Drosophila melanogaster: one gene and its partner. The protein of the gene in region 1 interacts with the protein of each later gene in a pairwise test. Each region holds a gene or a part of one and is shown on either strand. Other genes may lie near its edges.

Region 1 (4,392 bases):
CGGCAGGCGGTATTTCCGGGACAACTAAAGGGTAAATTGGGGTTTCTACTGTCTTAAGAGGCACTCCATCCACTTTCTTGCTGCGTTGTGGTAGAATCCTTCTCCTTTGCGGCTGTGCAATACTAATGGGCATAACATCCACCCTACTTTCTAACCTGTTATTCCCGCCTTCCCTTGCAGTCTCAGTGTCCGAATCCTCTTGTTTGCCCTGCTTTTCGAACCAAGACGAATTGGTCCTGATGCAGCGCTCCCGGAATGCGATGGCATCGTTCAGATCCAGCAAGCAGGATAAGCAGATCCTCGTTGGCACACCTGGCTGGTTCCTCAACTGGAATCGAAGAGGGAATGACTCCGTGGTTACCGGGAATAGTCACCTACCCAAAAGCCCGTCAGCTTGAGGATGTTGCTCAGGACATCTCTGGCCTCCTTATCGAAAAGTGACTTGGCGTGCTCCGCCTCCTGGCCACAGGTGCGGCACAGCGTGGTCATCCTTTTTGCAGTTTCAACTCAATTGTTTAGTTTCCGCCAAGTAAACAAAGTTGGACTTCTGTTTACAGAATAATCTAGTTTATCATTGTTTTGTGTGAATGGCACATTTTAAAGTGAACTACAAGGAATTAGTTCTTCCGATTTGAACTGTGGATTTGTTGTAATAAACGTTAAATATTTAAGAGGATGAAAGATCCACTTTCAAAACTGATCGATACACCCAAATCACAGTCAGATATCTTATGATATTTCATCTTATTAACTTCTTAGAAATACTTTTATACTAAATTATTATAATTTTAACAGATAAGAACATTAGACCTCTAAACGGATGACAACACTTAACAACAAAACATTTGTACCTTATTTATTTTTGGAATCAATTTCGGACTTAGCACTCATTGCGATCAGCTTATTTTGATGCTGCCTGGAGCGGTAGTGGGTCTTCAAGTTCGAGTTCCGTGTAAAGGACACTTTGCAGACCTCACAGCTAAGGGGAAAGTAGATAAAAACAAAGTTAAACATTTGAAAAAGTAACTTTTCAAGCAGGAAATAGTTAACTTGATTGCTGGATGTAGTGGATATTAGGAAGTAAAGAGTTACAAAGTGGGAATAATAAGATGATTGATACTTAAAGGAATATGTTAGGAGAAAGAAAAATCTAGCCATATATCTTCACAAGATCTTACTGGAAGTTACGCTCGCCGGTGTGGACCACCTCGTGCTTGGCCCTCTGGTAGTTCGACTCGTATCGCTTGTCGCAATAGTTGCACTTGAAGTTCTTTGGTGTTTTCTTGTTCCGGTGTACCCGGCTGAAAGAATGGCAGTGTTCGTAGGTGCAATTTAGGGGATTTAAGGTATGCTATAGACTCACTTTTCGTGGCGCGATCGCATAGTACTGTGCACAAAACGCTCGTCGCAGAACTGGCAAGCGTATGGCTTCTCTCCGCGGTGCTTCACCCGAATGTGAATGTTCAGGATGTACCTGTTGAACTCCTTTTGTCCGCACTCAGGACACTCGAAGGGCTTGACGCCCGAGTGGCGCAGCACGTGCAGATTAAAGTTGCCCTTGTCGGTGAATTTCTTGCCGCAATGGTCACAGATGTGGACCTTTTGGCTTATGTATGTTTTTCGTTTTTTCTTCGCAGGTTTGAGAAAGTCGGTGTCGTCGTTTTTGGGAGATGATCTCTTGGTGTATTTTCGACGAGGCTTCTTATCTTCGTCAAGGGCCGATTGACGCGATGTGGCTTCTATATCTGACATAGAATCAGCATCTGTATCGCTGTCGCCGTCCTCGTTCTGCCAAAGCTCGTCGTCGTCTTCCTGTGACTCCTCTTCGTCCTCCTCATTTTGCTGACTTTCCTCCTCATCTGGCTGTGACTCCTCACATTCCTGTGACTCCTCGCCATCATCATGTCCTGTCTTTTTATCCACCATATCCTCATACTCCTGCTGTTGCTCTTGCTCATCATCCTCCTTACTGAAGGGTATTTCGCAGGCAATATCTTCAAATTCCTTGTTCTCATTAACCTCGCTTTCTTCCTCCTCCTTCTTGTACAGGTCGTGGTCTTCCTCCAGTCCTTCATTATCCGCATAGGACACCTCGTACAACACCTCCTGCTCCACTTCCGCATCGTTGATCTTCAGCCCCTCGTGCGCATCGCTCAGCGGATCAGCCCAGCATCCGTCATCCTTGGCTTCCACACTTCGGCGCTGGATTGTCAGTCGATTGTTGGTCTTGATGCAGGCTTGCCGGAAGGCAATGGCGCTCTTCAGGCTCAGCAGGCAGCAGGAGCACATATTCCGGGGCATCTTCGAGTGGTCGGTGAGCTTGAAAACCAAACGAGCATTAGCGGTTTAAATTTGCCAATTTAATTTACACACTCACCCAAAGGCCCGTGACCAATGCGATTTGCCTGACCATTTTGCTGTTCTCATCGAATATGTTAACTGGATTTTGCGTGTATATTAAATCTCCACACAACCGGCATTGTGGCGTCATTTTTAAGAGTTATTTTTCGAGCCAAAATTCCTTGCTTTATTAACAGCTGCTGCTTCATTTTGGGCCATTCGCAGCGAACTGTTGTTGTTGTCCGCGTCTCTGGGTGACTGCCAAGCGGTGGCGCCAAAATTTGAAAATGGCGCCTTTTATTCAAGGGTCGTTATGGAATATACTCCAAGCATTTGCTTTTCGTGGCAAATAGGAATTACCAAATATATTTACCACTTCAAAAAAAGAATTAAAAATATATATTATACATAAGTTTTCTGTTTTTAAATGAAAACGATTAATTAAATAGTAAGGTATTTAACATTTCGAAATGAATGGCTGTCCAAATATTACACTCTTAAAGAAACTACTTCATAATAGGAAAAGCAAATGACAAAAATGTAATACAAAAAAGTTATAGCAAACGAAGGGCAATCCAGTGCCAAAACAGTGAGAATACGTTCAAACATTTATGTCTAATAGATATCCTGAGCCTCAGAATTATCCAAGTCGTGCTTTCATCTACATATCCCGCATCTTATAAGACGGAATTAAAAACGATCTCTAATTCTTTGGCGAATCAATGCTCTTCGGATTCCAGGATGGCGCTGGCTCTTTTCTGGTGAGCAACCGAATCGAAGTGACTCCTTAGCGTTGCCTTTCGGGCAAAGTTGATTTGGCAAATAACGCAGCTGAGAGGGAAATACACGACTTGTATTAAATATGCGCAAATTTCATATCATTTCACTTACTCAAAGGGCTTAAGACCTGAGTGCAGGAACTTGTGCTTATTCAAGCAGGTCTTGGTATTGAATCTCTTGGTGCACTGGTCGCATTGGTACCTCAGATCTCTGATGTGCCGTATTCTGTCATAGTGTTAGGAAATTGTTTATGTCAGCGCTTTTAAAGTTAAATACAATTGCAGTAAGGACTTACCGCTCATGGCTCGACTTAGCTGTACTTGTGAAAAACGTTGCCGAGCAGAAGTTGCACTCAAACGGCTGTTCGCCCATGTGGCGCACTCGTTCGTGTAGACGAGCCAGATACTTGGTGACGAACCGCTTGTCGCAGAACGTGCATGGAAAGTTCTTCTCACCCGTGTGGCGCACCATATGCGTCTTTAGGTTGTATGGAGTCTTAAAGACCCTTCCGCACTTAGGGCACACCAGGGATTGCATTTTCCGAGCTGTCCTTTTTGCAGGGGGTACATTCTCAGCTGCCACATCTTCTGGAGCTAATGCAAGGGGCTTTACTACCTTAATAGAGGGATACGTTGTAAGTAGTCTCAGATCGGTTCCAATTTGTATAAAGTTTCCCTTTTTTGGGCTTTTTGCATCGACTTTGTTAGGCAAGTTTTCATTTGCAAATGAAGGAGTCTCAATTAATGGATTTTTATGCTTAAATATTAAGGGGGTTTCCGAATCATAAGGATTATGTGGTTCGTTTCTCCTATCCTCATGGGCGAGATTTAAATCAATATCGGATTCCTCTGCTTTTTTGTCAAATGGATAGTTTTCTGAATCATATGATTCCTCCGATTCCAAGTCACTGGAATCCCCTTCTGGCTCTATATCGGATACAGTGCTTTCTAGATCCTCATCAAGCCCAGATTCCCGCCTCAGCGTTGCTTCATTGTGAACTCGTTGAATGCGCTTCTTTAACTTAATCGATGTGTTCAAGTCATTTAAACAAGATGGGCAAATATGACGCGGCTGGCGTTCATTCTGTTCTAACTGTAAATGGAGTAAATGGGTTATGCCATTCACGCACACAAGAAACCATCAACATACCCATATTCCAGTGAGATCCTTGATCTTGGCCAGAACTTCCAGGCAAAAAATTATCGTGGGATTCAGGTGACAGAAACACGAGGCGCACAAATGGCATTGCGAAGGCTTTTTCATTTCAAACAT
Region 2 (6,897 bases), on another chromosome or scaffold:
GTGCCTGGGTGTTTCTGTGCGACTCGTTGCTCTTTTGGCCGCATTCAAATATGGAATGCAGCTTCCAGCCGGACTTGAAATTCCATAGATGAGCCTCAAAGGTCAAAGGCACGCAAGCCAGGAGATGCAGAAAATTGATTGATTCAAGCCGTGTCGCTTCCTAAGATGCTAGTCGAGATCCTCAACTTCCAGACACCAGCTACAGCAAGATCGAAAGTTGACTGAAATAATATGTAAGGCCTTTGCCATTTGTTGTAGACGGCCAAAATCCTTTTGGAATAAACATAGAAACTTTCAATAATAATAATAAAAACCAAAATTATTAAATTAATATTAATATATTCAAAAGTGTGGGAGCAGCTTTGTGGGATAGTGGACGTGCTCACTCTTAGTTAAGGGAATGTGTTCTTTTTATCATTCGTTCTCATAAACTTTCTCTAACTCTTACGTAAGCTCGCAGACTTACGAAATCTTAAAAATAAGCGAAAATAATACTTGCTGCAAATTGTTTCATGATTAAAAAGTCCGAAAAACTAATATCCAGTGTTGGGTTGTAGTCACAAATAATATTTATTATTCATTTCATTTTTTCACTTGCGTATTTTGATTTGCATTTCAGTTGTACACTTCAGATTTTGCACTTTTGTTGGAAAAGACAAATGGCAACTAAATGCATTAAGCTTATTAATTTTACAAGCATGGCCACAATGAGTTGTATTGTACTTGAGCTGTTATAGATTCACTCCGGGACAATCTGTTGCTCTGGCAAGACTAAGCATACAAAAATATTTCAGGTTTCAATCGTGTTATGCCTATTATTTTATAAATTATTGCATCGAAATTCGTTCTTAAACTAATTTCCTTTAATAGGGAAATTATTATGACAACACTAACTCATACATTCTTCAAATTATACTTTTTGGTAGCAGCAAAATTGGGATTAAGGGTAGTAATTCATTAAAATGACCTGTACTACAAAGTATATATCTTTGGGATAAATTATTTGGTTGGGTTTCGTTCTGCAACTTTGGGTTACTAAACACTAAACTAAATGGCAAGAACTAGTTCTACAAATCCTTCTTCTATGGCACACTCGCATTTGGCGTTGGCTATCAACTCCTGGATTCTACTTCTGTTTCATATACATGGTAGCAATTTTCTCAAGAATCGTGTCTATAGACAACAATTCGTCGCTGAATTTCTGCATAGTGGGGGCTGGCACAATCCACTTAAGAAATTCCTCCACATTTAGCCGGAGTCTGGCCAATGGGGTCATCGTGGCGTCGTCATGGGATTGTCGCTGAGCCAGCTTCAAGGATGCAATGATAACGTTATCGATTAGACGCTTCTCGTAGCCCAACTGGCGCAGCTTTTGAGCGGAGCTAATTTTCTTCAGTACCACTGCCATGTTAAATCTTAAGACAGAGAGAATTTGCGCATCTTCAGACTGATTGCCACTGGGTTTGTCCCCGTCAACTGGACACTTGGCGCAGTGCTCAACATGCGACTGCAGCTCCACCTTGATCTTAAAGAAATCGTGGCAGCCTTCGCACATGTAGGGCTTTTGCTGTTTGTGTATCTTCTTCATGTGGTTCTTTAGGTGCGCCAGCTGAGAAAAGGCTACTTCGTCTTCGCACAGCTGGCAGCGAAAGGGTTTTTCCCCCGTATGCTTTCGGATGTGCAGTTTTAGTACGCTTGAATGGGCAAAGGTCTGGTGGCAGATCTGATGGAAGTAGAAACATAATTTACGGCTGCATGCAAGCTAACACCCTTTCAACTTACCCTACACTGATAGGGGCGCTCTCCCGTGTGCATTCGCATATGGACATTGTACTGGCTTTTCTGGGTGAAATATGTGTTGCACACCTCGCAGACGTGGGTCTTAACAGCGGTGTGCCTCTGCATGTGAGTGGCCAAATCCTCGTCCGGCTCGATCATCTTATGGCATATCTCGCACTCAAATTGCGTCAGCTTGTGGTGCTCCTGGTTTATGTGCGCTCGCAGGGCCAGCTCGTTGGCGAATTGGTTCTCACAGATGCTGCACCGGTGCTCCATGCCCTGCTCGTGTCGCTCCATGTGCACCCGTAAATTGGCGTTGGTTGAGAAGCTGGCCGAGCACTTAGTGCAGTTGAACTGCTGGATACTCGTCTTGTGGTGAGAAACCATGTGCTGTTGCAGCTGCAATATAAATGATAATATATATTAGGAACACCAATGGTTAAGACCTATAAAAACAAAAGCCTAATAGAAAGTTCATTATTAAATACACTTATTTATATTTAATTATTATAATAAATATTATTATTTAAGTTTATAATAAATCAAATTATGAGAAAAATATAAAATTAATTGTTAAATCTCAGTTAAAAATGGAATGTCGTATTACTCACTTGACCTCCTCGGGCGAATTTTTTGTCGCAGAGGTCGCAAGGATAGGGCTTCTCGCCAGAGTGGAGGCGCATGTGGAGCCGCAGGCGCTCCTTGAGGGCGAATGATTTTGGGCACTGGGAACAAACGAACTGTTTCCGATGCTCGTGGGCGGTGGTGATATGATTTTTCAGGTTGACCGCCTGGCGGTAGCTCTTGCCACAATCCTTGCACTTGTGCGGTCGTTCGTCCGAGTGGATAAGCATGTGGCGCTGCAGATCCGTCTTGCCACCGAACTCTTTGGAGCATTGACTGCAGACATGGTGCTTGCGTTTCACCGGTTCGCCCTTTCGGGCAGACTTCTTAAGCTGCGGTTGCACGTAATCATCATCCTTTGAGTCCTGCTCTCCGCCGTCGTCCTCCTCCTCGTCCACACAAGCATCGCGCAGACTTGCCAAGCTGCTCTTCCTCCTTTTGATCGCAAGCGTAGGGCCTGGTGAGGATTCCCTCGCCGCCGGCGGCGAAGACAGCGATATGCCGCTGTCTGTGAGCAGAGAGACGGCATCCTCCTTGGACACACTACGACGGCTGCGTACCATTTGTTTGGTTTTTATTATTTGGATTCGTAACTAAATTTCTGGGGACCGCTTCCTGGGAAACACCGGCACCTGCTGCGTTTGTCTTTACTTCTAGGGTTAATGTTCTACGTATGTAATTTAGGGTATTCGTATTTTTTGGTTCGATTGCTACTTCTAGGATAGTTCCCATTCACCTTTGGTTTGGATTAGTTCAGATGGGCTGCAAAAAAAGTTAAGAGCTGTTTTAATTCTCCACTCGCCGAGCGCCACGTTCCGAAGCAGACGGAGAATCAAAAACACAGACAGAAATAGTAACCGCAAGTGAAGCCGAAACAGAAACAAGAAGAGAAACAGCAACGGAACAGAAACTCCAGCTGTGTCAACAGTGATAAGACCTATGCACAGGAAAAATATTACCAAAATTGGTGGATTTGCATATTTAGGGGCTTCGAAAAGCATGGCACTTTTTACGTTAATGCAATAGTTCTTACTATTTTTGCAGTGTTGTCGAAATCACTTGAGATTTTTAGACGTTGTTTATCATAATTAATTAATTAATTGCAATTCATTGGCTATCCAATTAGAAAATATATTCGTTTCTTTACAAATCTAGTTAACAACGGAAGGTTGTGGACTGTTTTTCACGGTGTACAGAGCTAGGAGCCCAAGTCTTGAAGTGGGTCGCATTATCAATTGACATTTCCAGCGAACGTAAGCTTCCAAAAAAAATTCTTAGTTTGTTGTCTTAATCTTTTGTTTGGGCGGGAGCGAGATGGAGAAACCGCCTGATAAGATCCCGAGGAAGGCAACAACTGATAAGCAATCCACCGCTTTCACTAAAATCACGGTAGAGCTATAAAAAGATATCGAGATAAAGCTGTGCAACCTGAGCGTTTTCGATCCCGCGGCGTCTGTTCTCCGAGGCGGCGGAGTTTCCAATGAAAAGCGAGAACACTGAAAATGCAACTGCAAGAGAGCGATTACGATGACCCTGGGCTGGGACGAACATCTGGCAAGCAGATTGGGAACCCTCCGATTCCGATTCCAGTGCCAAGCAACCCCCTCCCCCTGCGGAGGGTTAATGGTTCATTAGAGCCGCACCCGCAGAAGCTGAAAACTAACTCACTTTAGCAGCACAACGGCCCTCGACCAAACTGTTGAAAAAGCGAATTTAAGCTAGAATCCGCAGCTGGGAATCGAAATTGAAAGAGAACAGGGCAAAAAGCACGAACGACAGCGAAAATCACACACAAAAAGCGAAAATAAAGAAGTGAATACATAACAGCAGTTTTGTAATGCTAAATAGGCGGGGTTATGGGGGTGGGTAAGGGTTAAGGCGGCGGCGGTCGCTGGATGAGGGTAGGGGCCGTTGAAGTCTTTCGTATTCGGGGCACAAAACTCGACGACTGTGTAGTTTTCGGGGTCTTGCAACCGATTGTTAGTAATTAATGAACCAGCACCACAGCACTCATATACGTAAAGCAATCCATTATACACATATGCTACACATTTGGCCCAGGGGCTCCACATTCAACACCAACACCAAAGCCCCACCGGGCGTGGACTTACCTTCGCAAAAAGCAGGAGTCGCTAGGCTAAGGGCCTTCGATCCACAGGAAACTTAGCATCACCCCGAATGGGACACACCTGGACTTCCTATGCATTCCGCGTCCGACTATGAGTTCGCTTCTTATTTGTTTTTAATTTCGACACCACGAGCTGTGTGTACATACTTTTTGCAATCCGCTAGGTGGCAGTCCGACTGGCTCCTCAAGGTGTATCCATCGTGCTGCCTGCGGCTTAACCTTTGTGGGACTTTGCGGGTTTGCCGATTCTAAGCCAATACTGCGTTTTGTCCAGCAAAATAAATAACAGTTTTCGGTGGTTTTTCGATGTTGTTCTTAATGTTAGTGATGTGTATTCACCGATAGACGGTCACACTGGGACTCTCTGTCTGCGCGGCCACAGATGGGAGCGTGATGCACAGTCACTAGTTAGAGAAAATCCAATAACGTGTAGGTTGCGGCGCAATAAGTTATAAATAAGTTAAAAATCACATTGCGCAGTATCACTGCAATATTTATTGAAATTTCAGTAAGAACAAAGTGAGGCACACTTTGTTGAACGTGACTTCTTTTACACACTGAAATCACAGCCTGCTGAACGTGACCACTTTGCTCACTGAAATCGCAGACGTGTGGCAACACTCAAGCCGCCAGAAAGATCTGGCATCTCTCATACTTAACACGCGCATGCAAAATATTTAAGAAATAAATATTAGTCGCTAACAGTTTAAATATAATAAAATTCTGCTGATATAAACCCAGTTCATAAAAGAACACGCATTTACCTCCGCATATAAGATCAAATACGTATAAAATCTAATTAGCCGACTCAAGGTAAGGCGTGCGTTTTTGGAGCTCCACTAAACTGACTTCAAAGCAATAACTCATCAAATACTACATTTCAGTTAAAATGGCTGGAGTACTCTTTGAGGACATCTTCAACGTAAAGGACATGGATCCGGAGGGCAAAAAGTTCGACCGTGTATCCCGCCTGCACTGCGAGTCCGAGTCGTTTAAGATGGACCTCATCCTGGACATCAACTCGTGGCTATACCCCATGGAGCTGGGCGACAAGTTCCGCCTGGTTTTGGCCACCACCCTGCGCGAGGATGGTTGCCCGGACAGCGGGGAGTACAATCCAATGGAGCACGAGGGAACGCGGGCGGACAGCTTTGAGTACGTGATGTACGGCAAGATCTACAGGATCGAGGGCGACGAAGCACACAATGAGGCCTCCCGGCTCTCCGCCTACGTGTCATTCGGCGGCTTGCTGATGCGACTTCAGGGTGACGCCAACAATCTTCATGGCTTCGAGGTGGACCAGCACATGTACCTGCTGATGAAGCGGCTGGCCTTCTGAATTTTCTACCTAATTATTTTCGATCGCAAATTAGACATAGACAACAAACTTTATTTACAGTGTATTCATGACATTGCTTGGAGTGCTGAAAGAAGTAGTCTATTGCCTGGATGGGCGTCTGAAAGGCGCATTGACTATCAGGCGAGATGGCCGTGGGCGAAAAGGAATGTGGCGATCCACGAAGGGCAAAGCCTGCGGAGTCGATGGGAACACTGGAGTAGGCCTAATAGCATTCACAATCTTGACCGCATCTGGCCGACGACGAACCGTAAGCTTAGCCGGCCGTCGCTGCGGAGTCCGCAGAACCGGACGCTGCGGGCGGAAGGCAGAAAGTCGGTTCAGAAGCGGCAGAACATACTGAGCCTGGGGTGGTAGCGGCAGACTTGCCAAATTAATTATAGCTGCGCTTTGTGGCAATGTGTTGGAGCTGTCATCATTGGCTGGCTGGTCTGGAGGTCCGTAGGTCTGATCGGGAGGTCCATAAATTTGGTCCGGTGGGCCGTAGACCTCAGCTGGCGCTTCCACCAAAGACGGTGGTCCGTATGTTTCAGGTGGAGGGCCATATGTATCCTCCGGTTGAGGAAATTCAACCGCCTCCTCCGTTGGCAGGTCGAATGGCGGATCGGGGACCAGGCCTGCTGGTGGATATGGGGCTTGTTCCTGTCTTTGCAGAAACCTTCCCGCCGCGGGTCCTGGGAACCTCAGATGACTGCCTTCAATTCCATTCAGGCAAAGAATGGAACAAAGCGCAAAGGTGACCAGAGAAGCACTTGGATAACCGGACATTGTGGTGTGCTGACATGAACTGCTGCATGGGCGGCTAAGTGGCGCCTATAAATACCCCCTAGGAATGCCCTTGGGAACTGCCCAATTCAAACGCCCGAAGAAACCTCGAGGCCGATGACTTATAAGCCAGGTCCAACGATACGTGCCCATGGAGGTGGTGACTAAGGCGCGTGTAAGTACTGGCTGTTATGAAAATGTGTGGTTAGATTTCTTTAAAAGGGAGTGCTTATACAAAATAATT

What was found.
Region 2: the proteins of Nnk (region 1) and CG11247 interact in a two-hybrid assay, tested with the Drosophila melanogaster proteins (one large-scale study listed by BioGRID).

The regions. Positions count from the first base shown.
Region 1 is NT_033777.3:17,802,678-17,807,069, forward strand, and holds Nnk (nicknack), read right to left. Parts: upstream 2,573-4,392; 5' UTR 2,492-2,572; coding exon 2,378-2,491; intron 2,320-2,377; coding exon 1,364-2,319; intron 1,302-1,363; coding exon 1,179-1,301; intron 980-1,178; coding exon 853-979; 3' UTR 548-852; downstream 1-547. Other genes in the region: CG17806 (uncharacterized protein), read right to left, coding at 1-328, 379-489; CG17801 (uncharacterized protein), read right to left, coding at 3,060-3,171, 3,232-3,345, 3,416-4,212, 4,270-4,392.
Region 2 is NT_037436.4:21,723,773-21,730,669, forward strand, and holds CG11247 (uncharacterized protein), read right to left. Parts: upstream 5,035-6,897; 5' UTR 4,679-5,034; exon of another isoform or gene 4,621-4,678; 5' UTR 4,515-4,620; intron 3,166-4,514; 5' UTR 2,967-3,165; coding exon 2,391-2,966; intron 2,179-2,390; coding exon 1,783-2,178; intron 1,724-1,782; coding exon 1,127-1,723; 3' UTR 554-1,126; downstream 1-553. Other genes in the region: Polr2H (RNA polymerase II, I and III subunit H), read left to right, coding at 5,421-5,870; CG14570 (uncharacterized protein), read right to left, coding at 5,970-6,656.